Macaca fascicularis: one gene and its partners. The protein of the gene in region 2 purifies or fractionates together with the protein of the main gene of each other region. This does not show direct contact. Links are inferred from orthologs where the notes say so. Each region holds a gene or a part of one and is shown on either strand. Other genes may lie near its edges.

Region 1 (3,957 bases), on a different chromosome or scaffold from region 2:
CAGGTCTTGATGAATAAAGCAGTCATAATTTATCTCTAGGAAGATTATACCCTGGCATTTGAAATGCTTTTTATTTAGAATAGTAGTAAAAATGGAAAAAGAAAAAGGAAATGATGATGGAATACCAGACCAAGAGAATTCCTTGGATTTTTCTGAACACTTTAACCAACTTGAATTGTTGGAAACACATGGACACCTTATTCCTACTGGTACTCAAAGTCTTTGGGTAGGCAATTCTGATGAAGATGAGGAGCAAGATGACAAAAATGAAGAGTGGTATCGATTGCAAGAAAAAAAAATGGAAAAAGACCCAAGCAAATTGCTTCTTTGGGCTGCTGAAAAAAATCGGGTAAAAAAAAAAGATTACAGAAGGAAGTGTGACAGTAGGAATAGCACTGGGTTCAAGCCAGAAGGCCTGCCTTTACTGTTATGGCCGTCATACCTATCTCTTGATTGTGAGGACCAAATGAGACAATGTACATGAAAGCACATATTAAGCTGCAAAGTGTCATGCTAGGTATTATTTGGGGGTTTAAGGATAATTATCTAGAAAGATAGCAAGCAATCATCTATATTTTAAAATCATTTATATAAAGTCATTAGGATCATTTAGGAAAGAGGATGGAAACTAACATTTATTAAATACTAACTATACCAGGTACCTTATTACATTATTTAATCCTCATGTATCTCTATAAGTAATACTCTTCTCTTTTATAGAGTAAGAAATTGAGATTCAGGAATATTAATTTGCCCAGGATCATCCAAGTGGAATGAACATCAAAAGCCTATTCCCTCTGCTTGGCCACTTCCACCTAATTTTACTAAGTTTCCCCATGTCTGTTTTAGTAAACTAATAACTAAAAGGGTCTTGCATTTTAAATAGCTTTTTAACCCAAGAGCATGCCACATTTAACCAGAGGCCCATAGAACAAACTAAAAATTACAACCTTAAAGGATGTTTCTAAGGTTGTATTGAGAAGGAATTGAGCTCTTAAATCCCTAGAATTCCCTATTAATACTTTATTCTTTTGTTAAAAGTTTTATTTTTAAAAGTTTCATACAGTGTATATATTGGTGTGATAATCCAATAGAAAAATCAAGCAGTTATGTTTTCTTCACAGATAACATATAAAATATTAAATACAATTAAAACCTATGATATTCATTGGACTGAAGCTTTTATGCAATGAACCTTAGCTGGACCAGGAGTAAGGGTATGGTTTGATATTCAGAGAATCTCATTCTTAGAAGCAACAAAGTATAGTTAACACTAACTTGTTCATTCTCACACCAGTAGTCCTCTCCTCCCAAAAAAGAGATCTTAAATTATTTTCATTTTAAAGTCATCTGCTAACAAGTTTTTATTCAACCTAATTAAATCTAACACCACAAGAAAATTTTGTTTTGGTTATTGTTTTGGTTTGAGTTGAGTTGAAAGATTTCCATTTTTCTTCTCAGCTGACTACAGTGCGGAGACTACTTTCTGAAAAGGCCACTCATGTGAACACTAGGGATGAAGATGAGTATACCCCTCTTCATCGCGCAGCCTACAGTGGACACTTAGATATTGTCCGGGAGCTCATTGCACAGGGGGCAGACGTTCATGCAGTGACTGTGGATGGCTGGACGCCCCTGCACAGTGCTTGTAAGTGGAATAATACCAGAGTGGCTTCTTTCTTACTGCAGCATGATGCAGATATCAATGCCCAAACAAAAGGCCTCTTGACCCCCTTGCATCTTGCTGCTGGAAACAGAGACAGCAAGGATACCCTAGAACTCCTCTTGATGAACCGTTACGTCAAACCAGGGCTGAAAAACAACCTGGAAGAAACTGCATGTGATATTGCCAGGAGGACAAGTATCTATCACTACCTCTTTGAAATTGTGGAAGGCTGTACAAATTCTTCACCTCAGTCTTAACAATTCTAGTAATTTTCTTAAGTTTCTAAGTACCAGTGCCTCCTTTGTGTGAGATATAAAGTATTCCCATAATCAAAGTTGACGTCAAACATCTTACTACAAAAATTCAGTGATATTCATTATAACATTCTTCCAAGTGAATTGCCTGACTTTGATGTCAGAATGTATTTAAAAGTAATTTGCATATATATTTAATGATTTCTGTGGAGTTCGTGATTTTTTATCAGAACTAATTTTAATGTGTGTATACTTAAAAACTTGACACGGGTTGTACAGAAACTGATATTTTTGGTGCTGATCCAAGAGAGATGTATTTTTAAATATCCCACATCCTGGATCTTTGTTGAGTACTTAGTATATTGACATATATTTTTATAAGGTGAGGTAACTCAGAACTTAATTTAGAAGTCTTAAATATTCTGATACAATTTAGCTGTCTTCTCTACCTTACCATAGCCAGTTGCTTTCACTTTAAACTAGAGCAAGTAACGTATTAGTGGCTTGCATCTTCATAAGTTAAAGAAAAAAACAGCAAAAAAGCTAGATCTTTGTCTTTTAGAACACAGACCATTTTCAGGAAAGCAGTTAGCGAGGTGTTTAATTCATGAATATTGTATACTGCCTCCCCTACCACAATTTACACAATCCTGTGGATAGTCCTACCTCACCCTGGTCAACCTACATGATCCTTATGCTAATGGCAAATCACAATGACCTTGTAGACATGCACACAACTATACCTTTGTCCAACAGATCATAATATATCTGCTATCCAACTGGTTTTACATGCCTAATCCTACTGATTGGGGCGCTGCTCATATAGTCTCTCAAGTTCACAGGAAATGTTGATTTTCTAAGGTCCTCATTTTTACAAACTATACAAAGCCTAAGTGACAAGGGAAAAGGAATTAGTCTAAGAGTAAGGGGATGATGATTATATTGAGGCTAAAACCACAAAGTGGCTCAGGCTTAAAAAAAAAAAAAAACACTGTGGATAATGACAAAAAGCATAAGTAAAAATATTTGAGAAAAATAAAGTAGAAGTTTTCAACAACACAAAAGGCATGAATTCATTTTTTACCTGTGTATGTCTTTCTTGGATCCAGAACATTATTCATCCAGCGTGCACTTAGTTATTTAATATCTACTCTCTCAGTTTCTCCAGCAGCAATTTTGCATTGTGTACCTAGCCCCTCTGTGATTGTTCCCAGAGTTTTGTCTTCTCAACATGAGAACACTCTAGGGGAAGAGAACTAAACCAATTGCTCTTTACTTCAGTTAAATTTTTTAAATGTCCACCAAGGCTTATCTCTTTCAAGCCATCCTATGTAACCCAGTCACCCTAGACTAAGTAATAATGTTATTTAATGAAATATTAAATATTTATTTTTGGTTAGAACTTATTAGATGATCTCAGAAAAGTCAGAGATAATACATGAACTGAATCATCGTGGCAACAGGCTCTTGAGAGTTAGTGCTTTAGTTTATGTTGTGAGCTCTGCCTAGGGAGATGCTTTGTGGCAGAAAGAGGTTGCTTTCTGTTTGATCTGGCCTAAGTTAGTGACACCAAATGACAGGTACAGCTGACAGGCAGTGATGATAGAATAAGACCTTATTTATCCAAGCAGACTGCTGAATGAGGCTGCTTAGCCTGAAAGTCACAGAACTGATGGCTCCTTTCTCATTTGAGAATGGATTGCACCCATGATTTTCCATGTAAACTTTCCATTTAAGTATGAAGCCAAAGAAGTCTTGTTTCCAATAAGGACCTAAGATGTGTCTACTCCCTTGTTTTCAGACCTCAACACTCACTGATGCTAGAGAGCAAATTCTACATATAAGACAAATCCCACCCCTGAGGGCAGAATTTGTATTGTCTGCTTCATTTATACTTTCCAGAACATTTACTAGACTGCTCTGTCCACAGAAGGCAGTTACTAATTGTGCTTTGAAAGGATTACTTCTACTTTCCAGTGTAGGCAGGCTAAATAGCTCAGTTTGCAAACAGAATTTTCTCTAATCTTGAAAAGCCTG
Region 2 (4,670 bases):
CTGCCCTCCAACTCTCACAGCAGGGTCGGGGCAGGCAGGCCCACACCACACTTCTAGCCCACGGGCACTCCACTGAAGCACAGCCTTCCCCCCGCCTTCCCGGGCTCAAACACCGGAAAGCACAGAAAGTCCCCAGTGGAAAAACAAAAACCCAAAAGCCAGGCTCAAAGCAAGGTGAACCCCACCTGGAGGACACCACAGTGACAACAGTAGGAATGGTCTTAATGATAGTCACACTAGAATACACACGACACGCAGAGGTCAAGACGAAGACCTAGTTCCTCAATTTATGTCTAACTGGCTGCACAAACAAAACTATGGTGGGGATGACCAACCCATCTCAAGGTCTTCACATCAGCCATCTTTGACTCTAACTGCCATTCTGCTGAGACCCACGCTTCTTCCAAACTGCCTTACTCCGGCTAACGTGACCACCTCGCCTTTCATTTCCTCAGAGGGGTCATCTGAAAGGACCACAGTGTGGCCAGGAGCCAATGCTGACGGAAAAAAAAAAAAAAATTCAGCTGTGCCCAACCCTACTCAAGTAACTGGACGTGTACCCTGATAGATGGCTGTCTGGGGGGGTCCAACCCCAGGGAGTCAGAGCCACAGCCGCCTGCAATCCCGTATCCAACATGACTGTATGCCCAGTGAGAGGTGAGGCCTGGAGGGTAGAACGCTGAGTGAGGAGACAGCCTTCCACCCTCCACCTCTGGAATCACTTGGTGACAACCACACCAAAATTTGTCTGACTCTATCTTTGGAAAGCACAAAAGTTGTTTGACAAGGTCTCAGAGAAGAGAAGAAATAGTTTCAAAGTACTTCTTTCTTTTTTTTTTTTTTAGACAGAGTCTCACTCCATCACCCAGGCTGGAGTGCAGTGGTATGATCTTGGCTCACTGTAACCTCCGCCTCCCAGGTTCAAGTGATTCTCATGCCTCAGCCTCCCAAGTAGCTGGAATTACAGGCAGCCACCACCACGCCTGGCCAATTTTTGTATTTTTAGTAGAGACAGAGTTTCGCCACTTTGGCCAGGCTGGTCTCGAACTCCTGACCTCAAGTGATCCGCTCGCCTTGGCCTCCCAAAGTGCTGGGATTACAGGCGTGAGCCACCACGCCTGGCCCAAAATACTTCTCTTTGATGCCTGCCTAAAGGTGGTTAATGGACTGGCTTTGCAGTGTAACTCAGATCCTGGGATTAAAACTTTCGCCAAAATCTACTGTTCTATAAATAAGCCAAACGACTTCCATTTACCAAGCACCCTGACTTCCAAAACACTGCCAAGAACACATCCAGCTGACCACCTGGTATAAATGTTTAAACAGTCAAACCCAAATGTCTAAGGCCTGCTTACTCAGCAGGCCATTAAGGCATATGTACAGGTTCAAAAGCAACAACATGGCATATGACGGGGTTACCCGGCAGATTAACCAGGCACCCGAAGTATGAGCCACCCATATGTATGGATTCAGCCTAACGCTGTCAGCCCACCGGGTCCTGAGTTCTCTCTCTGGTGAAAAATGGGAAGGGAATGAGAACTGGGTACTGTCCACATGTGGGTTCATCTAAACGGTATGACCAGAGGCATTACTGACATCCCTTGGGATTCCTGACCCTGGCTGACAAATGCCCCAAAAGCTAGGGCTGCTGGAACAGAAAACAGCTCCCCTCAAAGGTCTGCAGCAGCCCCTCTGCAGGCACACCGCCTCAGGCTACATATCCTCAAATGCAAGGGGTCTTGGAATAACTCGTGCACCGCACAATCCCACTGACAAGTGCAGAAAATTGTTACTTTAAAATTACAAACTTCCGCCAGGCGCAGTGGCTTCCCAGCACTTTGGGAGGCCGAAGTGGGCGGATCACTTGAGATCGGGCGGGCGTTGGAGACCAGCCTGACCAACATGAAGAAACCCCGTCTCTACTAAATATACAAAATTAGCCCGGCGTGGTAGCGCATGCCTGTAATCTCAGCTACTAGGGAGGCTGAGGCAGGAGAATCGCTTGAACCTGGGAGGCCAAGATCGCGCCATTGCCCTCCAACCTGGGCAACAAGAGCGAAACTCCGTTTCAAAAAAGGAAAAAAAAAAAAATTACAAACTTGAAGATTTAAGCCAACCTTTCATTACACTTGTGTTCATGTGCATATTTTTCCATTGTAAATATGACACACCCCAGAACGTTCTAATCCCATGTTTTTTGAAATCTACCGTGAGACTGTTATAGTCTAAAGGACAGCTCATGAGTACAACTACTTCATCTGCCTCTCACTTCGCCAGCATCTTAACCCTGGGTGACTTTCTCTACCGTCACCTAAACTTAACCCTTGCTCATCTGCACTCAGTCACCGCTCCAAGGCCAAGGGGCACAGGCGAGAGAGAACCCCCAGCGGTCAGTCATCAGGGCGGCTGCGAGGCGGAGGGCAAGCTCCGCTCCTAGCCGGGCCACTCCCCCACTCCCACAAGGCATTTGGGTCTTTCTGACATTTTCCCCCACGCGTGCAAGACGCAGGGGCAGCCTCTGTGGGGGGAACCAGACAGCCCCGGACCGGGCTGCGGAAGAAAGACCGTGGCCTTTGTTTACTGCGGTGACCTTAGGCGTGGAGGAAGCCGACGCCCGCTCCGCCGCCCCGGCCTTGCCCCCTCCCCGCCCGCGGCCCGCTGCCCCCACCCCCGCCCTGCCCCTCCCCCAGGCCCGCCTCCCCACGCCCCACCCAGCCCTTCCCGGGTCCGCTCCCCACGACCCTGCCCCTACCCGGGTCAGCGCCCCCGAGCCCATGCCCCACCCCGGGTCAGCTCCCCTGTCCCCTCCTCCCTCCAGACCCTGCTCCCCCGACCTGGCCCTGCCCCTCCCCCACGTCCGCTCCCCACTGCCCTCCCCACCCCTGGCCGCGCACGCCTAGTGGCCGTTGGGTTCTGGCCACGACCCGGCGGCGCCCCGACTTGCACGCAGACCCCGCGGGGGCCGCCACTTCCTTCCGCGGTCGCGATTGGTCTTGGCAGCCGCCGGGCCCGGGTCCTCGAACGGCGGGCGGGGGCGGCGGGGCCTCACCGAGATAGATGTCTCCGAAGGAGCCGCTGCCGATCTTCCGGCCCAGCCGGTACCTGTTCCCGACTCTCAGCTCCATGGCGGCGGCGGCGGCGGCCCGGTTCGCTCCTGCCCTCCCGGCCGCTTCCTGGGTCTGAACTCCGGGAGGCGGCGCCGCTGCTGCCGCTACTGCGGGTCCGGCTGCCGGCTCCGCCCCCCTCACGGCCCCGCTTTCACCATCGCTTTCCTGTCACCCCGCCGCTCCCAGCGCCTCAATACGGGGCGGATGGGACAGTCCGAGCGCCGCCGCCGCTGCTCCGGCCCCTGCCGACCCCGCTTGCCCTCTCCCCGCCGCGGATGGACTCGGATCTTCCGGGCCTAAATCCCCCTTCAGCTGCCTAAAGGAGCCGCCGCCATCGCGCTGTGACGTCACTTCCCCTAGCAACCCGGTGGGGCGGGGCCGCGGCGCTTCGGGGGCGGGGCCTGGCCCTCGGGGGCGGGGCCGGGCGGGGCGAGCGCTCCAGGCCTCCTCCCAACTCTGCGCAGGGCCAAGCCCTTCTGCCCCGCACCGTCCCGTTACCCCTGGACCTCGGGCCGCCAGCCCCTTCCACCTGCAGTCTCCCGCTGCTCTCGCGGGGGCTTTTCGTGTGTCCCCCGAGATGTCGAGGAAGCCAGATGAGTTCCTCGCGACAGGCGGTGCCTTTTGCAGGAGGGGACAGGTAGCTGAGGCCTGGACAGATTGACAGGCCAGGCTCAGGGGACACAGGGGAGACCCCCTCACTGGGCTACCAGTTCCCGGGCTTGGGGCATCCCAGGACGTCAGCGTCTGCAGCCTTACCTCCTGACACCTAAGGCCAGAGACAGAGCGGGCCCACGCCTTCGGAGGTCCTGATGTCCAACTTGGAGGTCAAGGGCAAAGCCACCACCTTTCACAATACGAGGCCAGACCACCTGCCTCCCGCCAGTCCCTGCGGCCTGGAGACCGAGTCAACATTCTTATCTGTGTTGGTTCTGAATGTTCCTCCTTGCAAAAGAAAACAAGGAGTGGACGTTCAGGCTGATGGCCAGCTTCAAAGATTGGGGCCTTTGATTCCCATCGCTGGGAAGAAAGCCCTTCAGACAAGCCCCCTGGGCTGCGGTGCATGGGGACCTTGAAGAACCCGTACCCATGGTCCCACGTCCATGTATGTTGAGACCTGTCACATCCTCGCTGAAACTCAAGAACGTGAAACAGGTGAATGTGTGTTTTGAGGCAGTAGCATACCAGGGCTCTGGTGTGGGCACCACAGCGTGAGTGAGACAACAGCCTCAGCCCGTCCAGGTCACTGCAGAAGAGGAAAGCAGCCCCCGCAGGCCCCGCAGTGGTGCCCGCCTTTCTCCACCCCCAAGTCCTTCCTCTCCACCCCTCAGCTCCAAACAGCCGGAGGTCGGGTGGGGGAGGCAGGTGTCCATTCCTGAAGTCACACAGCAGGGCCTGGAGACAGGAGATGCCACCGGCCAGACCACCGTCAGTCACTAATGAGGCACAGGCAGTCGGAACTGCCCAGTTTCTGAGTTACAGGAGCCTGGGGTGGGGGCTGCCAGACTAGTAGAACTGACCTTATTGGCAGGATCGCTCATGGCTTTTCTGTTGATGAACAGAGCC
Region 3 (4,048 bases), on a different chromosome or scaffold from region 2:
ATTTTTGTACTCACAATGGAATTCATATTTACGGGAGGGAGGGGAAAACCAAACCCAAACAGTGACTACCCTGTAAATACCAAAGGCTTTAAAAACTGAAGGTTTCATCTCATTTGACAAGAGAATAATATCTAACATTAGGTCCACATAGGTCAACATTCCAATTCCATAAGGTAACATCATCTGATTTTACAAAAAAAGAAAAAATGCAATTGAATAAAGATGTTTATGACCTGGAGCTCAAAAAAGGATTCTGAAATTGTTCTCTATCAGAAAGACATTGTATTTAGGAGTTCCTTTTACTCTATTTTTTTTTTTTTTTTTATAGATTTGTGTGTCTTCTTGAAACAGACTAGCCTTATGAAGAAGGTTTTGTGACAGCATATAAAATCTTCCTGTGATATTTTGGTTCGCAATTAGGTTTCTCTCTGTGTCAGTAATCATTCCATATTGTTATAATCAACAACTGGGTAGACATCCATAATTATGAACATCCAAGTCCACTTATAAAGGAAAAGGGGCCCTGACAAAAACAGTTGCTCTGAAATCCTCAGTATCTTGCAGACTGCAGAGAATTTCCTGAAGAACAGCAAAGAATACCTAGGGTATGGATAAGCACACATGATGGCTATATTTCCTTAATATATACTGATAGACCAGCCCGAATACTTGTCAAATATCCTATGCCAATGGAATGAGAATGTAACTAATCCAAGTTATCGAATTTAATGGTAACTCAAGCACCAATAGTGTTGATGGTTTTCAAAAAAAAAAAAAAGACATCAGAAAAGTCCTTGAATATTCAAAGACCATTCCATACCTCTTACATATGCATCTAAGAAGAATTTTTCACAACTGATTCATTCTGTGAAGATCATAAACACAACTTTACAATAAAATCTACTTGTTGAGAGATAAGAATTCATATTAATTAAAAAAGTTTAGTACCTGAAAATTAGGAGGAATAATAATTTTGCCAGCAGGAACCTGTAGAACAATGTTCTCTCCTTCAAATAGCCAGAGGTCCCATTTGGACTCATTGATAAGCAGGGCCCAGGGCAGAAGTTCTATCAACAAAGTTCTAACATATGGCTTCCAGATTGACAGCTTCACTCGCATTGGGCTATCCCACTGACTTAGCTGTTCATTCCTGTTCCAAACACCACATCCAAGAGACTCAATGAAATATGATAACTTTAATATTTGTGAAATATGTTTAAAGATTCCAAACACACCATGTTCCTGCATGATACCTCCTCATACCAGAATCTTTCAATTCTAAATTTGCATGCAGGAGAAAGCAACTTTTCATGCAATTATGATCTAGATCATGAATAAAGAAATCTACAAAATACACCTACTAGATGATAAAAGGTAAGAATCTGACACATACATGCACACACCACTTACGGTATTTAATATTTTTGTGAATGATCATTTGTTAATATTGAGAAATTTTTGTAGAAAAAGATCACTGAAGAATGTTACCTGTCAGAATCCTTCTTATTATAGGGCCATATGGGTTGAAGCAACTTTTCTGGCCCATAGAATTCGTCAAGGATCTGATTAACTGTGCCTCTAGGGTGTACCTTAGTGGCTATTTGCTTAATGAGGGATGTTGAGATGGGAACTGCACAATCTGAAGGATCATATTCTTCTCTAGGAAATCGAAAGAAAAACCAAGAATAAATATCAGATTTCTAAAGTGGTCTACAATTTATTGAAAAATATCTAACTACACATGTATTACAGACCAACACCTTTTTGGTAGATAGAGTCCATTTATGGGACAGTGTGTGGATGATCTGGGCCCTGGCTTTTCCTCTTTCTTCCCCCACCCCTCAATTCCTGGGTGTTGATCTCTATTCACATCTTCTTTCACTACAGAAGTCATGTGTCAATGAAATAGAAATTAAAATTTCTGATGATTCCTCTTGATTATATCTATGCTTAATGAGAAAGGCTGATTTTTATCTAAAACTACAGATGAGAATAAGAGGTCACTAGGCAGGGCAATTTTAAAATAACATTCTCATAAGATAAGAAATCATACAAAAAACTCCCTCCACCCCATCTTCCCACCCACCTCCTACCCTCCCCAGTGCAAGGTTACTTTTCTACTTAATTTCTCTTAGGAAAATGTAGGGAAGGATTTTTCTAGTACCTTGCTTGGAATGTCAGGTGATGTACAAGGTCAGGTTCTATGTTTTGCAGTGGTTTTTCCTGCCCTTTTCCTGGAATAATTTGTGTTTCACTCAATCCCAGACTCCTTTTCTCCAAATGTATGATAATGGGGTCTGGAAGATGACTCTTCATGATAAAAAGAGGGCTGAACACAATCTATAAAAATAAAAGGACAGAACAACTTTCATATTTGCTTTGTTGCAGTATTCCAGCTGTTTGATGCTGAAACAAACTTGCAATAAATCTCTTCCCTAGGTCACTCTGACCTTAATTTATTTCAGAACAGGAAAGGTCAGAGTCATATACCATATTTTAGGATTGGGAAAGCACTCACCATTCGTTGTTGCACTTGAGAGTTGGGTTCTAAAGTCAAAACTGTGCACCAGACATAAATAATGGAACTGTTTGAAGATGGCACCTGCACATGAAATAGAAACGGGTCCTATTGAGTACTAAGCAGTTTACTAATTAATCAAAATAAGGCACAGATATATCCGTTTGGAAGATTAAAAAGAGTTTAAAGTTATAGAGAAAAAGCCATTATTTAAAAAAAACTAAGCAAAAACAGACTTCATTATGGCATAAAGCAAATGTGCAGTGAGTCGACGGGGCCAACTCTTTCCATAAAGACAAAGAGATTGCATAAGGAGAGATATAAGACTGACTGGCAAAATGAAAGAGAATTTATCCTTTATGGGAATGAAAGTGATGATGGTAAAGACTGAGGAAGAGATAAAGTAACAGACCATCACAAAAATCCTTAAGTGAGGAGGATACCACCCCCAGTCCCACCCTACCCCTAACCCTGGGGCAGCAGGATCTTTTTCAAGATATCACTTGCATCTGGGAGGGACAGAGTCTTGGCTGTAAGAACTACTGGAACTGATACAAATGTATTGTCATGGGATGGGGAGTAAACAGTTTGAGAAGTACTATTCAAAGCCTTTCTCCCCCCTTTTTTATATATCACTTTTTAATAAATTAAGTGCTATACAAGTAAAGAACATTTTGAGAAAATTTCAATGTTAAAGCTGCTCTACTCTAGATTGAAGTTCTTTTCAAACCTGAATGACAATGCTGTATTCAGGGGCTTTGGATTCCAGGCGCACATCTCTTGACCAGTCTTCATCTCCTTTGGCCTTCACACACAGCTCTGTCAGTTCATTGTTTTCTAGTATATATGAAGGCAGTTTCTGTTTGGCTGTGAGGCAGTCAAAATGTTCCCGAACTACAGCTTGTCCATCTTGACCAATGTAATGCTGAACGACTTTTAGTTCTATGCTTTGAGACAAGTAACTACAGATGATCTGTCTTCCACAGATGATAATCTAAAAGACAGTAAGTACATAAGTCTTCATCAATTCAGACTTCATTAACTGGAAATATGTTCTCGATCAAACAAAATAAACTATGTTGATGTTAATGGAAAGAAAATGAAGTAATTAGCTTAAACAGTACAAGAAGGAAAAAAAACTTGAAGTCAAGAAGAAATTTTGCTTTGGCCATGTTGAGTTTGCTATTTAAAGGACAGACTCCTCCATGGAGTCCAGTACTCAATTGAAATGCTGGTCAGGTGCTGGCCAGAGACAATGTGGCGGTGGAGATAATGATTTGTGAAAGGAAAACCTTGCAAACATGCATGAACAGAAGATAGTTTACCTGAAAGAGAGGGTAGAAGCTCAAACCCAGAAACTGACCAATACTCCAGGGGCAGACTCAGGGTGAGGAGCTAGAAAATGGGGCCAGAGAAGAAGGGGTGAAGGAGAATAGAGGTGAATCGGGGACAGTAGTTTTGCTGAAGCCATAAGAGAAGTGCCTGCCCAGGAGGTGGCAGTGAATCTTGTCAAGTGATGTACAAATGGAA
Region 4 (3,762 bases), on a different chromosome or scaffold from region 2:
GGATACCTGTGCCCCACCCTCTACCAGTATCCCCTCAGCTTGGGGTGTCCCTCAGTCTGGGTTGCCCTCTGTGAGCCTGGCTCAGCTGGTGTCCTGGAAGGCCTCCTGGGCATGGGCTAAACTTCAGCCTACCCAAGTCACTGACAGCCCCTTCCACAGTGTGTCCATTCTAGAGGGTAGGAGTGGTCCCAGTGCCCCCACCCCTAGTCATGTGTCTCCCTGCCCCTCCAGACCCCCGGCCCCAACATGGCCCGTCGCTCCCAGAGCTCCTCGCAGGGGGACAACCCACTGGCACCCGGGTACCTGCCGCCTCACTACAAAGAGTACTACCGCCTGGCGGTGGATGCACTGGCCGAGGGTGGCTCGGAGGCCTACAGCCGCTTCCTGGCGACTGAGGGGGCACCAGACTTCCTGTGCCCTGAAGAGCTGGAACATGTGAGCCGACACCTTCGGCCTCCACAGTATGTTACCCGAGAGCCACCCGAAGGCAGCCTTCTCGACGTGGACATGGATGGCTCCTCAGGTACATACTGGCCAGTGAACTCAGACCAGGCCGTGCCTGAGCTTGACCTGGGCTGGCCTCTGACCTTCGGCTTCCAGGGCACCGAGGTGACCACCTTGGTGCAGCCACCGCCCCCCGACAGCCCCAGCATCAAGGATGAGGCCCGCAGGATGATCCGTTCCGCCCAGCAGGTGCGCCATCTTGGGCTCAAGGGTAGTGGGGAGGGGCCAGGGCTAGAGGCACCAGGGTGGAGGAGACGCATGAGCACGATCAGCTTGGGTGAACCCTGAGCTCCAGCTGGAGCGGGGGTTCCTGGCAACAATCTTCAGGGCCGCCAGGTCTCGATCATCAGGGGCTACAGGCTCTGCACGGGTCTGCTTGCCCATGGTCATGGCCAGTGCCCAGAAATTCAGGGGCTCTGAGATGGGTGGGCACCGCCCCAGCCTGGGTTGATTGTTCAGATAATTACCTCTCATCCTGCCCGGTGGCCCTTGGCCAGCTGAGGGCTTCTAACCCTCACCAAACAGCTAGCAGACGGTGCAGGGTGCATCAGGTCCAGACGCTAAAGGCCCGTGACTTTCTCCCCTGCCCATGGCAGCAACCCTGTCCCAGGGCAGAACTGGAGCCTGGGACTCAGCCCTGACAGCTGTCCTGGAGTGGGGGCAGCTCAGCCGTCTGTAGGGTGGAGGGGATTTTGAGGTGCCCTTGCCATGCCCCCAGCGGGGCCCCATACCCCAACCTGGCCCACCCTCGTCCAGGGTTCTCTGCCCTGCACCTGCCTCGGCTCCCTCCTCATGGCCAGCCACTCCACACCTCTTCTCCTTCTGGTCCTTCTCCTTCCTCCTACCCATCTTCCAGACGCGGCCCCACTCCCAGGGATGGACTAGCTTGTTTCACAGTGGTTGTGGGTGATCCAGACGCCTCCTGGGCGTGGTGGGGAGGCTGGACAATAGTGTGGGGACAGCAGGGGCCTCTCCTCTCTGTCCTGACCCGCCCCTGCAGGTGGTGGCCGTGGTGATGGACATGTTCACTGATGTGGACCTGCTCAGCGAAGTGCTGGAGGCCGCCGCCCGTCGGGTCCCAGTCTACATCCTGCTGGATGAGATGAACGCGCAGCACTTCCTGGACATGGCCGACAAGTGCCGTGTCAACCTGCACCACGTGGATGTGAGTTCCCGGGAGTGGGAGATTGGGGAGGACCCGCGGCAGAGATCTGACTCCCCTCCCTCCCCAGTTCCTGCGGGTACGGACTGTGGCGGGCCCCACCTACTACTGCCGCACTGGGAAGTCCTTCAAGGGCCACGTCAAGGAGAAGTTCCTGCTGGTGGACTGTGCCGTGGTGATGAGTGGGAGCTACAGGTGCGCCCGCGAGCTTCCCTCACCCCCTTCTCTGGGGCCTCCTCCTGTAGCCCCAGCACCCCCTTTCCACACCAGGGCCCTCCTTGCCAGGAGCCCTTGTCCTGTATCCCTGCGTCCTCCCCGCCCCACCCGATGCCCACGGGGCTGCAGTGCCCTCGCTCCAGCTCAGTTTGACTCTGGCCCTGACCCCCCACAGCTTCATGTGGTCCTTTGAGAAGATCCACCGCAGCCTGGCACACGTGTTCCAAGGAGAGCTGGTCTCCAGCTTCGATGAGGAGTTCCGCATCCTCTTCGCGCAGTCCGAGCCGCTTGTGCCCTCGGCCGCGGCCCTGGCCCGCATGGATGCCTATGCCCTGGCTCCGTATGCCGGGGCCGGGCCCCTTGTGGGCGTCCCTGGGGTCGGGGCGCCAACCCCTTTCTCCTTCCCGAAACGAGCGCACCTCCTGTTCCCGCCACCCCGGGAAGAGGGCCTGGGCTTCCCCTCCTTCCTCGACCCGGACCGCCACTTCCTGTCGGCCTTCCGCCGGGAGGAGCCTCCGCGGATGCCGGGGGGCGCGCTGGAGCCGCACGCGGGCCTGCGGCCGCTCTCGCGGCGCCTGGAGGCCGAGGCCGGGCCGGCTGGGGAGCTCGCGGGCGCGCGGGGCTTCTTCCAGGCGCGGCACCTGGAGATGGACGCCTTCAAGCGGCACAGCTTCGCGACCGAGGGCGCAGGCGCCGTGGAGAACTTCGCGGCCGCGCGGCAGGTGTCGCGGCAGACGTTCCTCAGCCACGGCGACGACTTCCGCTTCCAGACCAGCCACTTCCACCGCGACCAGCTCTACCAGCAGCAGTACCAGTGGGACCCGCAGCTCGCGCCGGCGCGCCCGCAGGGCCTGTTCGAGAAGCTTCGCGGGGGCCGCGCGGGTTTCGCGGACCCGGATGACTTCACGTTGGGCGCCGGGCCCCGCTTCCCGGAGCTCGGACCCGACGGGCACCAGCGGCTGGACTACGTGCCGTCCAGCGCGTCCCGCGAGGTGCGCCACGGCTCGGACCCCGCCTTCGGGCCCGGACCCCGCGGCCTGGAGCCCAGCGGGGCCCCGCGCCCCAACCTGACCCAGCGCTTCCCATGCCAGGCCGCGGCGAGGCCCGGCCCAGACTCCACTCCCGAGGCGGAGCCGGAGCGCAGAGGCGGGCCCGAGGGGCGGGCCGGGCTGCGGCGCTGGCGCCTGGCCTCCTACTTGAGCGGATGCCATGGCGAGGATGGGGGCGACGACGGCCTGCCGGCGCCCATGGAAGCGGAGGCTTACGAAGACGACGTGTTGCCTCCCGGGGGCCGGGCAGCTGCCGGCGACCTGCTCCCCTCGGCCTTCCGCGTCCCTGCAGCCTTCCCCACGAAGGTCCCGGTGCCAGGCTCGGGCAGCGGCGGCGGCAACGGCCCAGAGCGCGAGGGCCCGGAGGAGCCCGGCCTGGCCAAGCAGGACTCGTTCCGCTCGCGCCTGAACCCCCTGGTCCAGCGCAGCTCCAGGCTGCGCTCCTCGCTTATCTTCAGCACATCACAGGCTGAGGGTACGGCCGGGACTGCGGCGGCCACAGAGAAGGTGCAGCTGCTGCGCAAGGAGCAGACGGTCAGCGAGACGCTGGGGCCCGGCGGAGAGGCCGTGCGCTCCGCGGCTTCCACCAAGGTGGCGGAGCTGCTGGAGAAGTACAAAGGCCCAGCCCGTGATTCCGGCGGCGGCGTGGGCGCCATCACCGTTGCCAACCACAGCAAGACCGTCGTGTCACAGGCATGGCGGGAAGAGGTGGCGGCCCCAGGTGGCGTGGGTGGCGAGCACCGCAGCCTCGAGAGCTGCCTCCTGGACCTGCGCGACTCTTTTGCGCAGCAACTGCACCAGGAGGCGGAGCGGCAGCCGGGAGCCGCCTCG
Region 5 (4,048 bases), on a different chromosome or scaffold from region 2:
TTAGCCCCCTGGCTTACGTGACTGAACTCAAGAAGGAAAAGGGGCAGGAAGTGTTATTTATTGACTCATCTCAGTATTTACTACCTAAGATTTAAAATAATATTTTTCAAAAAATAGTATTAAATTGTACTAGGCACATTGGCTCTCGTCTGTAATCACAGCATGTTGGGAGGCTGAGGCAGGAGGATCTCTTGAGGCCAGGATTTTGAGACTAGCTTGGGCAATATAGTGAGACCCTGTCTTTACAAAAAAAAATTAAGTTAGCTGGGTATAGTGGTGCATGCCTGTAGTCCTTGCCACTCGGGAGGTTGAGGTGGGAGAACTGCTCAAGTCCAGGAGTCTGAGGTTGCAATGAGCTATGATTTGCACCATTGCATTCCAGCTTGGGCAACAGAGTGGGACTCTAACTCATTAAAAAAAAAAAAGAAGAAAAGAAAAAGAATTGCTGTCATTCATTGAGGGCTTGCTATGCACTGTGCTCTGTTCTAAACACTTTATGTGCGTTATGTTATGTAATTCTTTAGCAACCCAATAATATGGTTAATGTTTTCACTTTACTGTAGCATATACTTACATAGGGTTTATTATGTGTCAGGCACTGTCTCTGCACCTTACTTATTCTACCCATTTTATAGACTAGGAAACAGGCATGGAGAGTTTAGCAGCTTGCCTAAGTAGTTGAGCCAGTCTTTCAACTTAGGAAGTCTAACTTATTAGATCCTGTGTTTTTAAACTATTCTATACTACCTCACTATAAAACAAATAAATAGAATGCTTTTCTATTCTCATCTTAATTTTATTTTTAAATTTCAAAAATAGAAAGTTTATACTAACAAATCTGAGCAATGCTGCAGAATGTAAAAGTTATTTACACACTCAAATTTTATTCCTGAAAGTCAACAGCCCTTAATTTCTTGATGTGCACTCTTCAGGACTTTTAAGAACGGAAAAAATTTTTAATGAGATACTATTTTTTTTCCTAGTAGTTTAGCAGACATTTAAAAACAATTACTGGCTGGGCATGGTGGCTCACGCCTGTAATTCCTGCACTTTGGGAGGCCGAGGTAGATGGAGATCAGGAGTTTGAAACCAGCCTGGCCAACGTAGCGAAACGCCATCTCTACTGAAAATATAAAAATTAGCTAGTTGTGGTGGTGTGTGCCTTTAATCCCAGCTACTCAGGAGGCTGAGGCAGGCTTGAACCTGGGAGGCGGAGGTTGCAGTGAGCCGAGATCATGCCACTGCACTTCCGCCTGAGTGACAAAGTGAGACGTCATCTTAAAAAACAAAAAACAAAACAAAAAATGATTGCTAATACATATTATTGGCAAGTGTGTGGAGATCAAGCACTTAGGTGCACTGCTGATGGGAATGTAAATTTGTACAGTCTTTCGGGTACCTAATTTGACAGCCTATCAGAATTTTGAATGTGCTTATCTTTGATCTATCAGTTGTTTTCCAAGGGATTATTTCTAGGAAAAAATTGGATAAATACCCTAAAATTTGTAAGATGTATGCATAAAGGTAAAGATATATACTGTAAAGTTTATAATAGCAATTTTTTTTTTTTTTTGAGATGGAGCCTCACTCCTGTCGCTCATGTTGGAGTGCGGTGGCACAATCTCAGCTCACTGAGACCTCCACCTCCTGGTTCAAGTGATTCTACTTCCTCAGCCTGCCCAGTAGCTGGGAGATTACAGGCATGTGCCACCACACCCAGCTAATGTTTTTATTTTTAGTAGAGATAGGGTTTCACCATGTTGGCCAGACTGGTCTTGAACTCCTGACCTCAGGTGATCCACCCACCTCAGCCTCCCAAAGTGCTAGGATTACAGTTTTGAGCCACCGCACCCAGCCTAGAATAGCAGTCTTTTTTAACCCACCATTGAAACAGCCCTTGTCTAATCAGGAGGTGTTTGGTGAATTATATAGTATGTTACCATATAGGCAGTTAAACAATGGTAGAACTTTTTCTTTATGAGATAAATCAGAATAGACTTAGAATTTAAAAAAAAAAAATTATGCTTAAGAAAAATCAACTAATTCCTTTAAGTCACAGTTTCCTCATTTAAAATCAGTGTAAAGAGATGTACAGAACTTACTAATATAGCTCCTGATAATAAGTAACTGCTATTATTATTACCATCTCCAAATTTTTCAGTTAACATTTTTTAGTAATCAGAAAGAAAATATTTACACACACACACACACACACACACACACACACTCACACACGACCTCAGCCAGGCAGCTTATACCATATCAACTATCAAAAGTTTGTCAAAGATCAGGTCTTAGACTCAACAGACATAAATTCAGGTGGTCTGGCTCTCTGTGAACTCTGGCAAATCCCTAAGTTTTAAAAATAAACCAAAATGGAAATACTAACCACAGTGCCAAACTCTGAGTGTTGTTTTGAGGCTCGAATGAAATAATGTAAGTATGAGTAATTTGAAAAAGTAAAGTGTTCTACAAACACATTTAGTGTAAGAGCTGGTTTTAAGCATATTGCTTTGCTAGATTGTCTGTTGCCTAGCATAAAGCCTGGAATCTAATGGGTTATGCATTTGTTACTTACGTATTTTTTAATTGATAAATTGTTTACTTTTTCCTGCATATTCAAAGTTTGATTTATGTATAATCATTTGATATGTAGATTTTCAGCTTTTTCACTTTTTGTTATGATAGAAAAAATAACTATTAAAATTGGTGTACATTGTTCCCCCTTCTGTTACTTTAGGAATGGAACATTACTAAACTTTCAATTGAGTATGATTCTGAGCCCTTTGGAAAGGAACGAGATGCAGCTATTAAGAAACTGGCAACTGAAGCTGGAGTAGAAGTCATTGTAAGAATTTCACATACATTGTATGACCTAGACAAGTGAGTTCTTTTTTTTTTTTTTTTTTTTTTTTTACTGTGAGAAAATGCATGTAACATAATATTTACCATCTTAACCATTTTTAAGTATATAGTTCAGTGATATTAACTACATAGATAAGTTTTTAACTGAGGTTTATGAAGTAGAAATGATAGCGTGTACTTCATAGAGTTTTGGGAGAATTAAGTGAACATATGTCAAATCCTTAGCATTTTATTTAGCCGCTATTGACCTAATGACAGGTCTCAGCATTTCTATTTCAAAACTATTATGGATTAAGACTGTTACAGAATTTTCCTTGACTACTCTTAACTCAGCCTCCTGTGGTCTTGCCTTTCTGGGCTCTTAGCATTATCAATTTTATAGTTATACATAGTTATAAATTGCCTTGACATATTTTGTATGCTTGTTTAATGTTATCTTATTTCATGTATATCTATCTTGTCTATCTGGATTTTAAATCCAGATACAAATTGGATGTAATATAACATTGCATAGCTGTAGTCCTCTGAACAATAGCATAATAGAATATTTCTCAAAGTGTATTTCTTCAGACACCAGTCCTTGGTGATGCTTTGTCCCACAGAAATTCTGTGGTCGAACTTAAATTTAGGGAGTATTGTATGCTATGAGTCTTAGAGGTCTATAAAACTTGTTAACTTTTTAAACTTTTGGCATACCATTGTCCTTTTAAGTACTGAAATCTTATAATTTATTTACCTTTTAAATCATTTTACTTTTTTAGTAATTTATAGATTTTATCAAGTTAGTAAAACAAATTCTGTAACATGACAAACTAGTTGATTTGATTTCACATTTTAAATGTATCAAAAAATCATGATTTGATTCAGACAAAGGTCTTACTTGATGCTAAGCTAGAATTCATGTATCTTTTGATAATAATCTTGCCTTAGAGCTCACCAATTTGCTTAACTTTAGGGAGCTCATAGCAAGGAGGGGGCAAAACAGGATAAAAACAGTTGCTTCTAGGTGGGAGACTCAGTGTTATGCATAAAATTAAGTGTTTAGGCCAGGCGTGATAACTCATGCCTGTAATCCTAGCACTTTGGGAGGCTGAGGCAGGTGGATCACGAGGTCAGGAGTTCAAGACCAGCCTGGCCAAAATGGTGAAACCCCATCTCTACTAAAAATACAAAAATTAGCTGG
Region 6 (4,634 bases), on a different chromosome or scaffold from region 2:
GGCCGGGGTGCAATGGCACAATCTCGGCTCACTGCAACATCCGCCACCTGGGTTCAAGCAATTCTCCTGCCTCGGCCTCCTAAGTAGCTGGGATTACAGGTGCCTGCCACTACGTTCAGATAATTTTTGTATTTTTAGTAGAGACAGGGTTTCACCATGTTGGCCAGACTGGTCTCGAACTCCTGACCTCAGGTGATCCACCCACCTCGGCTTCCCAAAGTGCTGGGATTACAGGCATGAGCACCATGCCTGGCCCAAAAAATATATTTCAAGAGAGATTCTCCTGTTTTTCATTTAAAGATAGAAAAATTAGGGCCAGGCACGGTGGCTCACGCCCGTAATCCCAGCACTTTGGGAGGCCGAGGTGAGCAGATCACAAAGTCAGGAGTTTGAGACCAGACTGGTCAACATGGCAAAACCCCATCTCTACTAAAAATACAAAAATTAGCTGGGCGTGGTGGCGCGCTCCTGTAATCCCAGCTACTCAGGAGGCTGAAGCATGAGAATTGCTTGAACCCAGGAGGCAGAGGTTGCAGTGAGCCGAGATCACATCATTGCACTCCAGCCTGGCCAACAAGAGTGAAACTCCGTCCCAAAAAAACAAAATTCCACCTCCATGATTTAAAGAAAACCAGCAAACAGTAAAATTTCTTTTCACAGGGTTACATCAGAACATCAGAGCTTACAGAGCTGCAATCACTTGGAACTGGGGAGGTGCCTTAATACAAAAATTAAAGGCCAACATATTCACTTCCCTTTCTTCTTCCAATTATTTTGTTCACTCCCCATTACCCTGAATGAAACATTTATGGTCTGTTCTTTCAAAATGACTACTCTGGGCAGGATGCGGCGGCTCACATCAGTAATCCCAGCACTCTGGGAGTCCGAGGCAGGCAGATCACCTGAGGTCAGGACTTTGAGACCAGCCTTACCAACATGGTGAAACTTTGCCTCTACTAAAAATATAAAAATTATCTGGGCGTGGTGGTGGGTGCCTGTAGTCCCAGCTACTCAGGAAGCTGAGGCACGAGAATCACTTGAACCCGGGAGGCTGAGGTTGCAGTGAGCGGAGATCACGCCACTGCACTCCAGCCTGGGCAACAGAGCCAGACTCCATCTCAAAACCAAAAAAAAAAAAGGCTACTCTGATCCCATCCAAATCTTTTATCTCCCTGATTATGAAATTCTCTTTCGTCTACACTGTCATCCTGTCTGACTTTAATGACTCAGATGTTCTTCTAAGTAGACTTATAGATTCAAAAAAACTTACTTCTATTTCAGGAGGGTTTTTTTTGTTGTTGTTGTTTTTTGAGACGGAGTCTCACTCTGTCGACAGGCTGGAGTGCAGTGGCGTGATCTCAGCTCACTGCAACCTCCACCTACCAGGCTCAAGCGATTCTCTTGCCTCAGCCTCCCGAGTAGCTGGGACTACAGGCACAGGCCACCACACCCAACTAATTTTTGTATTTTTAGTAGAGATGGGTTTCACCATGTTGGCCAGGGTGGTCTCCATCTCTTGACCTCAGTGATCCGCCCGCCTCAGCCCCCTATAGTATTTCAGGAGTTCTTAATCTTTTTGTGCATGGACCTCATTGGCAGTCTGGTGAAGCCTATGGTCCCGTTCTCAGATTTCTTTTAAATGCATAATTAAATACATGTGATTGCAAGGGAAGCCAATTATACAGAAATATTAGCAACACAACTTAACAAACTAATATGGTAATAATATATGTACAGCCTTATTATCACATTAAATAACAAGGTCTTAACGGCGGGTCTAGTAACACCAGAAATTCAAAGAAGTGATAACCATAAATGATATTCTGAGCTGTCTGCAACTGTAAATATGATACAAAAATATCCGTAATTTTTATTGATGACAAAGTCATAAGCGTTGCTAATTCTACTCTGGCTTGTTGTCCACATTCACAACTGAAGGAAATAATAAGTTTCAGATAGCAGTCAATAAAAATAATGATGTCATTTTATCATCCTAGTGAAAGGACCCTTCTAATTCTATCCGTCAATGAACTCCAGTTTAAAACCCCTCTCTAGTTCAAAGTCCTGCTCAGAACTTATTTTCGTCATAAATTTAAAAATAAAAACACTGATTCCTCCTTTGACCTAGTTCTCATCTGAACCTATCACTATGTCTCCCTGTTTTTATGCACATTTATACACAGAACCCTGTGTGTACTTCTGTGGTTTACCTAGCCAGCACCCATTACAATTTTGCCAGTCAATAAAAGGTGAAGTTGAAAGGGATGGAAATAACCAACAGCTACCTCACTTTCAGACCTCCGACAGCAAGAGGAAAGATGCCAAGTATGGTGAGTGTCTGTGGTAGGTGGGCTGCCCCTAGACCCATGTGTCCAGCTTGTCAAGCTTCCCCGCAGCACGACATCTTTATCAGCGACACTCAAAAGACATTCCATTTCGTTCTCGCCTCCTGTACTCAGTTCCCTACCTGCCGGGCCTCTAGTCTCTGGCCCCCACCCGAGACCGCTCGGCGGTCCCCCAGTCCCTTCCCATCCCATCCCCCACGCGCCTCTCCCTCTCCTTAGCCCCAGGCCGCCCTGGCTCCTGCGCGCCGCCACATTTCTCCCCTGGGCCTAACCCAGTGTCCCCCAACCCCCACCTCGCCCGACACTGACGGGAAGGTCCCGGGACCCCGGGGTCAGTTGGACCGGACGGCCCGGCCGTCAGAGGCAGGCTGCGGCCCTAGGCCGGAGCAAGCCGGCCGCGAGGCAGGGAGCGGCGCACCGCGCGCGGGCTAAATCGGGACGCGCGCTCACCAAGGGGCTCATGCGGATGAAGACACGGAGGACTCTGCCGGACCGCCACTCGGCCTCGGAGCCGTCGCCCTCGCCGGTGACTGCCCCCGCCGCCGCTGCCGCCACCTTCGCCACTCGCCTGTTGGCTTCCCTACGTCCTGCAGCGGCGCTGCCGCCACGCCAGCGCGCGTGCGCGGCGCCGCGGGCGCCCCTGGGAGCGGTAGTTCCGCCCGGGAGGCCGGGGGCTCCCACTTCCTCCTTAGGCAGCCCTAGGTCAGCTGCCCGCTGAGGCGGTAGTGGGTGTCCGGGTCCAGAATCGTCTTCCGGAAGGTTGTTTACCAGGCCTGAGCCCTGGTTTCCGCCTGCAGTAATGCTGGAAGTGAAGAATCCGACTGAGCAAGTATGTGTAAAGCAAAACTGTAGAGCGTTTTATGCTTTCTGTGACAACGCTCAGTTGCCCAGGACACATTATTCGAAAGAATGACTCTCTCTTTCTCTCGTGTCTCTCTCTTTCTCTCTCACACACACGCACACACCACTCACAAACCTCCCTTCTTTTTTTTTTTTTTTTTTTTTTTTTTTTTTTAGAGACGGAGTCTCGCTCTGTCGCCCAGGCTGGAGTGCAGTGGTGCGATCTCGGCTCACTGCAAGCTCCGCCTCCCGGGTTCACGCCATTCTCCTGCCTCAGTCTCCCGAGTCTCTGGGACTACCGGCACCCGCCACCACGCCCAGCTAATTTTTTGATTTTTAGTAGAGACTGGGTTTCACCGTGTTAGCGAGGATGGTCTCGATCTCCTGACCTCGTGATCCACCCACCTCACCCTCCCAAAGTGCTGGGATTACAGGCGTGAGCCACCGCTCCCGGCCCCTCCCTTCCCTTTTGTTCAAAGTGCCATTAATTAATTGGTTTGGATGGTATCTGGATTTTAAGTATTAAACCTGCTTTCCCACTTCTCAGTTTCTAAAATCTTATCGTAAACTTGACCATGCAGTTATTTAAGTCAATAGATGAGCTGTCTAATAATTTTTTTAACAGCATAACTCAGAGGTCAAGTTAGCTGAGTTAAACAGTCTAGAAACCTTAGAATTGGAAGATACCTCGTTAAAGGTCACTAGTGCAACTGCCGCCCAGGCAGGAATTCCCTCTTGTACATTCAGCCAGATGGTCATCTTGTTCAACAGTTCAAATTTCAGGGAGCTCACTCCCTCAAGTAATGCAGCCTGCTCCACTGTTGGACAGCTCTAAATCTTAGAAAGTTCTGCCTCCTGCTGAGCTGAAATCTGTTTCCCTTTATTTCCTTCCATTGCTGGTAGTTATGCTGCCTGGAGCAATACAGAATGTCTTCCACTTGACAGCTCTTCAAAAAATTGAAAACAGTGATTATATCCACCAACACCGGGAGTCTCCCGGCAAAAAAAGGAAAAAAGTAATAATCATTTCCCCAGCTATTTCAAATCAAACTGCTTTCCATCTACTCACCTCCCTTGATGTGTCCCCTTTAGGGGCATGGTGGCACATGCCTGTAATCCCAGCACTTTGCGAGGCCAAGACAGGAGGATTGCTTGAGCCTAGAAGTTCAAGATCAGCCTGGGCAACATAGTGAAACCCCATCTCTACAAAAACAATACAAAAATTAGACAGCCATGGTGGCGTGCACCTGTAGTCCCAGCTACTAGGGAGGCTGAAGTGGGAAGATCACCAAGCCCAAAGAGGTCAAGGCTGCAGTGAGCTGTGATCATGCCACTGAACTCCAACCTGGACAACAGAGTGAAACCTGTCTCAAAACAAAACAACAACATTGACATAATTGCTTCATATTTATTGCCTTGTTTTATGACTACATAGGTAGTAATAGAACC
Region 7 (4,048 bases), on a different chromosome or scaffold from region 2:
TCCATCAGCAATGACTATGTCAAAGAGCCCGGAAAAGGTGAAGGGTGCAGGCATCAAATGCCCATCTCAGTGAGCACACAAATCCAGACACTCAAACCAGATGGCTGCAGCCTGGCCCCTGAAGAAAGAGGGATCTGATAAAAAGAACCTATCAGCTCCATGGAGAAAAGTCACCCTCCATGACGAAGACACGGTGCATAAGGAACAGCCTGAGACGATGACTCAGAGGGGACAGGAAATTACATTTCCCCAAGAGGGGCATAAAAGGCCCTTCCTGCTCTGGGAAAGGAGAAGCCAGTGTTTTGACGACATTCGGGAGGCTTCCAAGATGAGCGCTGCCAGGGAGGTGCAGAGCTGAGGCCACAGGACGGGTGAGAAGGGAGGAGAGGCCGTAAAAGCAAAGATGATGACAGATTGCGTCTACTGGTCCTCAGGCAGGGCTGGACCGAGTGAGACACAGCACAGCCCTCTGTCCAGGCTTCTCAAGGTCAGTGCTGCCCTCCACTGGCTGGCCTACAGAACACAGCCTGTCGGAGAGCAGGGGGCCTGGAGCAGCCTCAGACCCTGCAATGGGCCTTTTCCCCACTGCTTCACACACAGGTCTCAGCTTTCTTTTTGTTGAGCATGACTCACTTTAATAGGTAGAAAGTGCCACCCCTCGCCCCCATGCCTCCCTTTTTCCCTTAGCTAGCAAAAAAAAAAAAAAAAAAAAAAAAAAACAGAAAAGGGCTTGACTTTTAAATCTCTGATAAAAGTCAGAATGGTGGGATTTTTGAGCTGAAATCCTAAAAGTCATGCAGTCCCACCAGATTATTATTATTGTTTTTAGAGATGGAGTCTCACTATGTTGGTTTGGCCAGGTTGGTCTTGAACTCCTGGCCTCAAGCGATCCTCCCACTTTGGCCTCCCAAGGTGCTAGTAATCCTAGCACGAGCCACCACAGCAGGCCCAATGGTAAGGGTCACACGGATATGATCCAGAAAGTACTCATTCCCTAAGCCAGGATTGAACCCGGCTGCCACTGTAAAATGGTAAAGCTTTAGTGGCTGAGCATTGGGTGGTCCCACCAGATTTTCATCTAGTTTGTTATGTTTTAACCTTCAGCTGGCAGGGCAGTAGGCACCCCCGCTCCCACCTTCCTTCCTGAGGTTGAATCTAGACTGCTGTCACTCACTCTCAGGCATCCTTGCTTGGCAGCTCTGGGGTTGGCAACTCTGCCACCTTGGCCCGTTTGCTGAGTTCTTCACCAGGTGGTTCCTCAGCTGCTTCCAGCTTGCGTTTGGGGGATGCTGGGCCACTGGGTAGTGGTCTTGGGCCTGTAGGGAAGCGTGTCAAAGGGTCACACAGACTGTGCATGCAGCCAAACTGACCCCACACTATGCAGCAGCGGTCTTTAGGGGACAGGTAGCACACTCATCAATGGAATGCCAGCATGCTGCTCCTCAGACTTGCCCCTCGGCCTTGCTTTCAGCAGTGACTTTGCCTGGAAATGTGCAAGGAGAACATGACCGAGCAGGCCTGCTGGTAGCAGGGCCAGCTTTTGGGCCCCAAATGGCATGGGCTATGGGCCAGAGACTGACTTGGCCTGCCTGCTGTCCTTGCTTTGAAGGTGAGGCATTCCCTCTGCAACCCTGAATCAGCCTCCCTGAGCAGCAAAGAGCAGGGCCCCTGAGAAGGAGGCATGCTGCCCATGGAGGCAGCCTAGCTGGCCCAACTAGAAAAACCCGTGTTCGTGCCATCTCATGTTACTCATCTTCATCCCCAAGAAGGGAGGAGGCTCCAAATGCAGCAAATCTGTCCAGTCGTTCTCTGTGTGGCCACCACCCTGTCTGTGCTGCCTCCTCTTTGGCCTCCCTATGCCCGCTCTGGCCTACACTGTCCAATCTCTACCCAGCAGGCCAGGGAGTTTTTTCAGACCTAAGTCCAATGATGCCCTGCCCTACTGACCATCCTTCAGTGCACTGAAGGCTGAATCCTAGTCCTCGTCTTGGATATCGGGCCTGCCACATGCTGCTCATGCTGTATCTTGTCCTCATTTCCCCAGCTCCTCACTGGGACATGCCGCCACACTGACCTCCCTTCGGTTCCTTGAATGGGCTAAGCTTGGTACTGCTTATGAGCTTTTTCTTGCTACTCCTTCTGTCTGGAATGGTATTTTCTCAGTGTGTGGCAGGCCTGGCTACTGCTCATGACGTGGGTCTCTGCTTACAGAGGTGTTCCCCGACTACTCCAATCTCAAGTGACACAGAAGAAACTTTTCTTTCCCAGTCCCTCTGTCAAGGCACTTGACTTTCTTTTCCTCCAAAGCACTGGTTATCTGAAATGATCCGACTTGGTTCCTTTACTATCTGACTGCCCTGGGTGGAATATAAGCTCCATTGGGCAAGGCCTCCTTCTGGCCTCAGTCCTGAATGACTGAAGTGCTGGCACAGGCCACAGGAGGCCATTGGAGGTGGGCTGCTGCTGCTCACCTGCACTGTTCACGCTCCCAGCCTGGCTCGAGCTGGGCTCTGCCACAGGGTGACTGAGGTCTTCCACACAGGAAGGGACCGATGCCAGTAGACCTGGGAGAGAGGCGGGGAGTAATCAGAGTGCCATCCCGCAGGATTGCAGGGGGTTACAGGGAAGGACGAAGCAAGCTGGGGTGGGGAGGATAGGAGCAAGACACTGAGGTTCCATTTCTTCTCACTGCCCCACAACTACTCAGGGAGGCCCAGTCCATCCCAGCCTGCAGTGTCCCATACCCAGAGAAGGTGTCAACCTGAAAGACAGCACTCAGCCTCCCTTTGCAGGTATCTGGCCATCCCCATCTGGCACCCCCGAGCCTGCAGGTGCTGTCCTTCCCTTCAGTGAGCTAGGTGTTTGTGTCCTTACAGAGTCCCCGGTAACGCGAGAGCTGCTGGTAAATCTGCTTCATTCGTTCAATGTTCAGCCGGCTGGTCTCGGCATGGTTGACGATGGGCCGTGGGTAGTCCACACCAATGATGCACTTGGCTGCCTTCTGAATTGACTCTGGGGCATTCCAGGGTTCATAGATGTATCGAGAGGGGAACCCTTTCAATTTTGGCAGGTATCGCCTGAAATAAGACACACCAGATGACCCATCAGCATACCTAGACCCTCCTTCAAAGGGCCCTGGGTATCCCATCCTAGTAGGAGGCCACAGTGGTCAGAAGCCAGAGAGCGTGGTCTGCATCCTCACCTGATGTAGTCTCCACTGGGGTCCGTACGACGGCCGAAGCCCACAGGGCAGTAGCAGTGGAAGAACTGCTGGAAGAAAGCACTGCAGGACAGCCACATCCAGCTGCCTGCGTTCACGCTGAAATCTGCATCCAGGAGCAGCTCATCAAATACCTAGATAGGGGAGAGGATGATCAGCCTCCTTGGGGATCTGCTGCCATGTTTTTTCCCAAGTCACCACAGTGCCCCCAGGAGCCAGAGCCCTTCTGCTGAAGGCAAGCCACAGAGGATCTGGAGGGGATCTCCTGGACCCAGAAATCCCACCCCATCCCTCAGCCCAGAAGGGGGCTGCCCTTTGCTGGTCCTGACCAGAGGGTATAGGCCAGCTTTTCGCTGAGAGAGCACTCACCCGGACCCCGCTCTCCCAGCTGACCCAGAGGTCCCCGCGGGTCAGGAAGCAGGCCACGGCGTGCCGGGCCAGGTGGTGGATCCAGCCCTCCTGCCTCAGTTGAGTCATGATGGCATCGATCCAAGGGAAGCCTGTCTTGCCCTCGGCCCACTTGGCCAGGGCCTCAGGATTGCGGTCCCAGGGAATCTGGATGCAGATGGGGTTCCCCTCCATGCGGTCAAACCTGGGGTTGTTGGTAGCTGCCGTGTAGAAGAACTCTCGCCACAGGAGTTGCCCAAATAGGGAGAGGGGAGGTGTGCTGTTCCGCTTCACCTGAGGGGTAGGGGTTGCACATGGATACGAACACTCACCCAGCTCTTAGCATGATGCCTCTCAGGTCTCTTCTACAAAGGAATCTGGGCCCTCCACAGACCTGGCGCTCAACTCCCAGATGTGGAGGGACTATCCCCTAGAAGTGGC

What was found.
Region 1: the proteins of CSNK1D (region 2) and ANKRD49 purify together in Homo sapiens (affinity purification with mass spectrometry; 3 studies listed by BioGRID and IntAct, counting the BioPlex papers as one, with this or other methods). This does not show direct contact. The link is inferred for Macaca fascicularis from reciprocal best matches to the Homo sapiens genes CSNK1D and ANKRD49.
Region 3: the proteins of CSNK1D (region 2) and VPS13B purify together in Homo sapiens (affinity purification with mass spectrometry; 3 studies listed by BioGRID and IntAct, counting the BioPlex papers as one, with this or other methods). This does not show direct contact. The link is inferred for Macaca fascicularis from reciprocal best matches to the Homo sapiens genes CSNK1D and VPS13B.
Region 4: the proteins of CSNK1D (region 2) and FAM83H purify together in Homo sapiens (co-immunoprecipitation; 5 studies listed by BioGRID and IntAct, counting the BioPlex papers as one, with this or other methods). This does not show direct contact. The link is inferred for Macaca fascicularis from reciprocal best matches to the Homo sapiens genes CSNK1D and FAM83H.
Region 5: the proteins of CSNK1D (region 2) and CRY1 purify together in Homo sapiens (affinity purification with mass spectrometry; 3 studies listed by BioGRID and IntAct, counting the BioPlex papers as one, with this or other methods). This does not show direct contact. The link is inferred for Macaca fascicularis from reciprocal best matches to the Homo sapiens genes CSNK1D and CRY1.
Region 6: the proteins of CSNK1D (region 2) and GAPVD1 purify together in Homo sapiens (affinity purification with mass spectrometry; 5 studies listed by BioGRID and IntAct, counting the BioPlex papers as one, with this or other methods). This does not show direct contact. The link is inferred for Macaca fascicularis from reciprocal best matches to the Homo sapiens genes CSNK1D and GAPVD1.
Region 7: the proteins of CSNK1D (region 2) and CRY2 purify together in Homo sapiens (affinity purification with mass spectrometry; 3 studies listed by BioGRID and IntAct, counting the BioPlex papers as one, with this or other methods). This does not show direct contact. The link is inferred for Macaca fascicularis from reciprocal best matches to the Homo sapiens genes CSNK1D and CRY2.

Annotation. Positions count from the first base shown.
Region 1 is NC_088388.1:93,487,162-93,491,118, forward strand, and holds the end of ANKRD49 (ankyrin repeat domain-containing protein 49), read left to right. Parts: intron 1-3; 5' UTR 4-91; coding exon 92-349; intron 350-1,461; coding exon 1,462-1,923; 3' UTR 1,924-2,984; downstream 2,985-3,957. UniProt on the Homo sapiens protein: Induces HBG1 expression. May have a role in spermatogenesis where it promotes autophagy in response to serum starvation, via the NF-kappaB pathway.
Region 2 is NC_088390.1:88,701,347-88,706,016, forward strand, and holds the start of CSNK1D (casein kinase I), read right to left. Parts: upstream 3,182-4,670; 5' UTR 3,126-3,181; coding exon 3,050-3,125; intron 1-3,049. UniProt on the Homo sapiens protein: Essential serine/threonine-protein kinase that regulates diverse cellular growth and survival processes including Wnt signaling, DNA repair and circadian rhythms. It can phosphorylate a large number of proteins.
Region 3 is NC_088382.1:109,439,667-109,443,714, reverse strand, and holds part of VPS13B (intermembrane lipid transfer protein VPS13B), read right to left. Parts: intron 3,513-4,048; coding exon 3,249-3,512; intron 2,603-3,248; coding exon 2,519-2,602; intron 2,341-2,518; coding exon 2,165-2,340; intron 1,660-2,164; coding exon 1,489-1,659; intron 1,151-1,488; coding exon 949-1,150; intron 1-948. UniProt on the Homo sapiens protein: Mediates the transfer of lipids between membranes at organelle contact sites. Binds phosphatidylinositol 3-phosphate. Functions as a tethering factor in the slow endocytic recycling pathway, to assist traffic between early and recycling endosomes.
Region 4 is NC_088382.1:153,387,102-153,390,863, reverse strand, and holds part of FAM83H (protein FAM83H), read left to right. Parts: intron 1-231; 5' UTR 232-246; coding exon 247-693; intron 694-1,504; coding exon 1,505-1,669; intron 1,670-1,736; coding exon 1,737-1,861; intron 1,862-2,057; coding exon 2,058-3,762. UniProt on the Homo sapiens protein: May play a major role in the structural organization and calcification of developing enamel. May play a role in keratin cytoskeleton disassembly by recruiting CSNK1A1 to keratin filaments. Thereby, it may regulate epithelial cell migration.
Region 5 is NC_088385.1:113,901,240-113,905,287, reverse strand, and holds part of CRY1 (cryptochrome-1), read left to right. Parts: intron 1-2,740; coding exon 2,741-2,883; intron 2,884-4,048.
Region 6 is NC_088389.1:18,794,994-18,799,627, forward strand, and holds the start of GAPVD1 (GTPase-activating protein and VPS9 domain-containing protein 1), read right to left. Parts: upstream 2,928-4,634; 5' UTR 2,796-2,927; intron 1-2,795. UniProt on the Homo sapiens protein: Acts both as a GTPase-activating protein (GAP) and a guanine nucleotide exchange factor (GEF), and participates in various processes such as endocytosis, insulin receptor internalization or LC2A4/GLUT4 trafficking.
Region 7 is NC_088388.1:19,990,885-19,994,932, forward strand, and holds part of CRY2 (cryptochrome-2), read right to left. Parts: intron 3,902-4,048; coding exon 3,590-3,901; intron 3,355-3,589; coding exon 3,203-3,354; intron 3,078-3,202; coding exon 2,875-3,077; intron 2,565-2,874; coding exon 2,472-2,564; intron 1,317-2,471; coding exon 1,177-1,316; 3' UTR 1,175-1,176; intron 1-1,174. UniProt on the Homo sapiens protein: Transcriptional repressor which forms a core component of the circadian clock.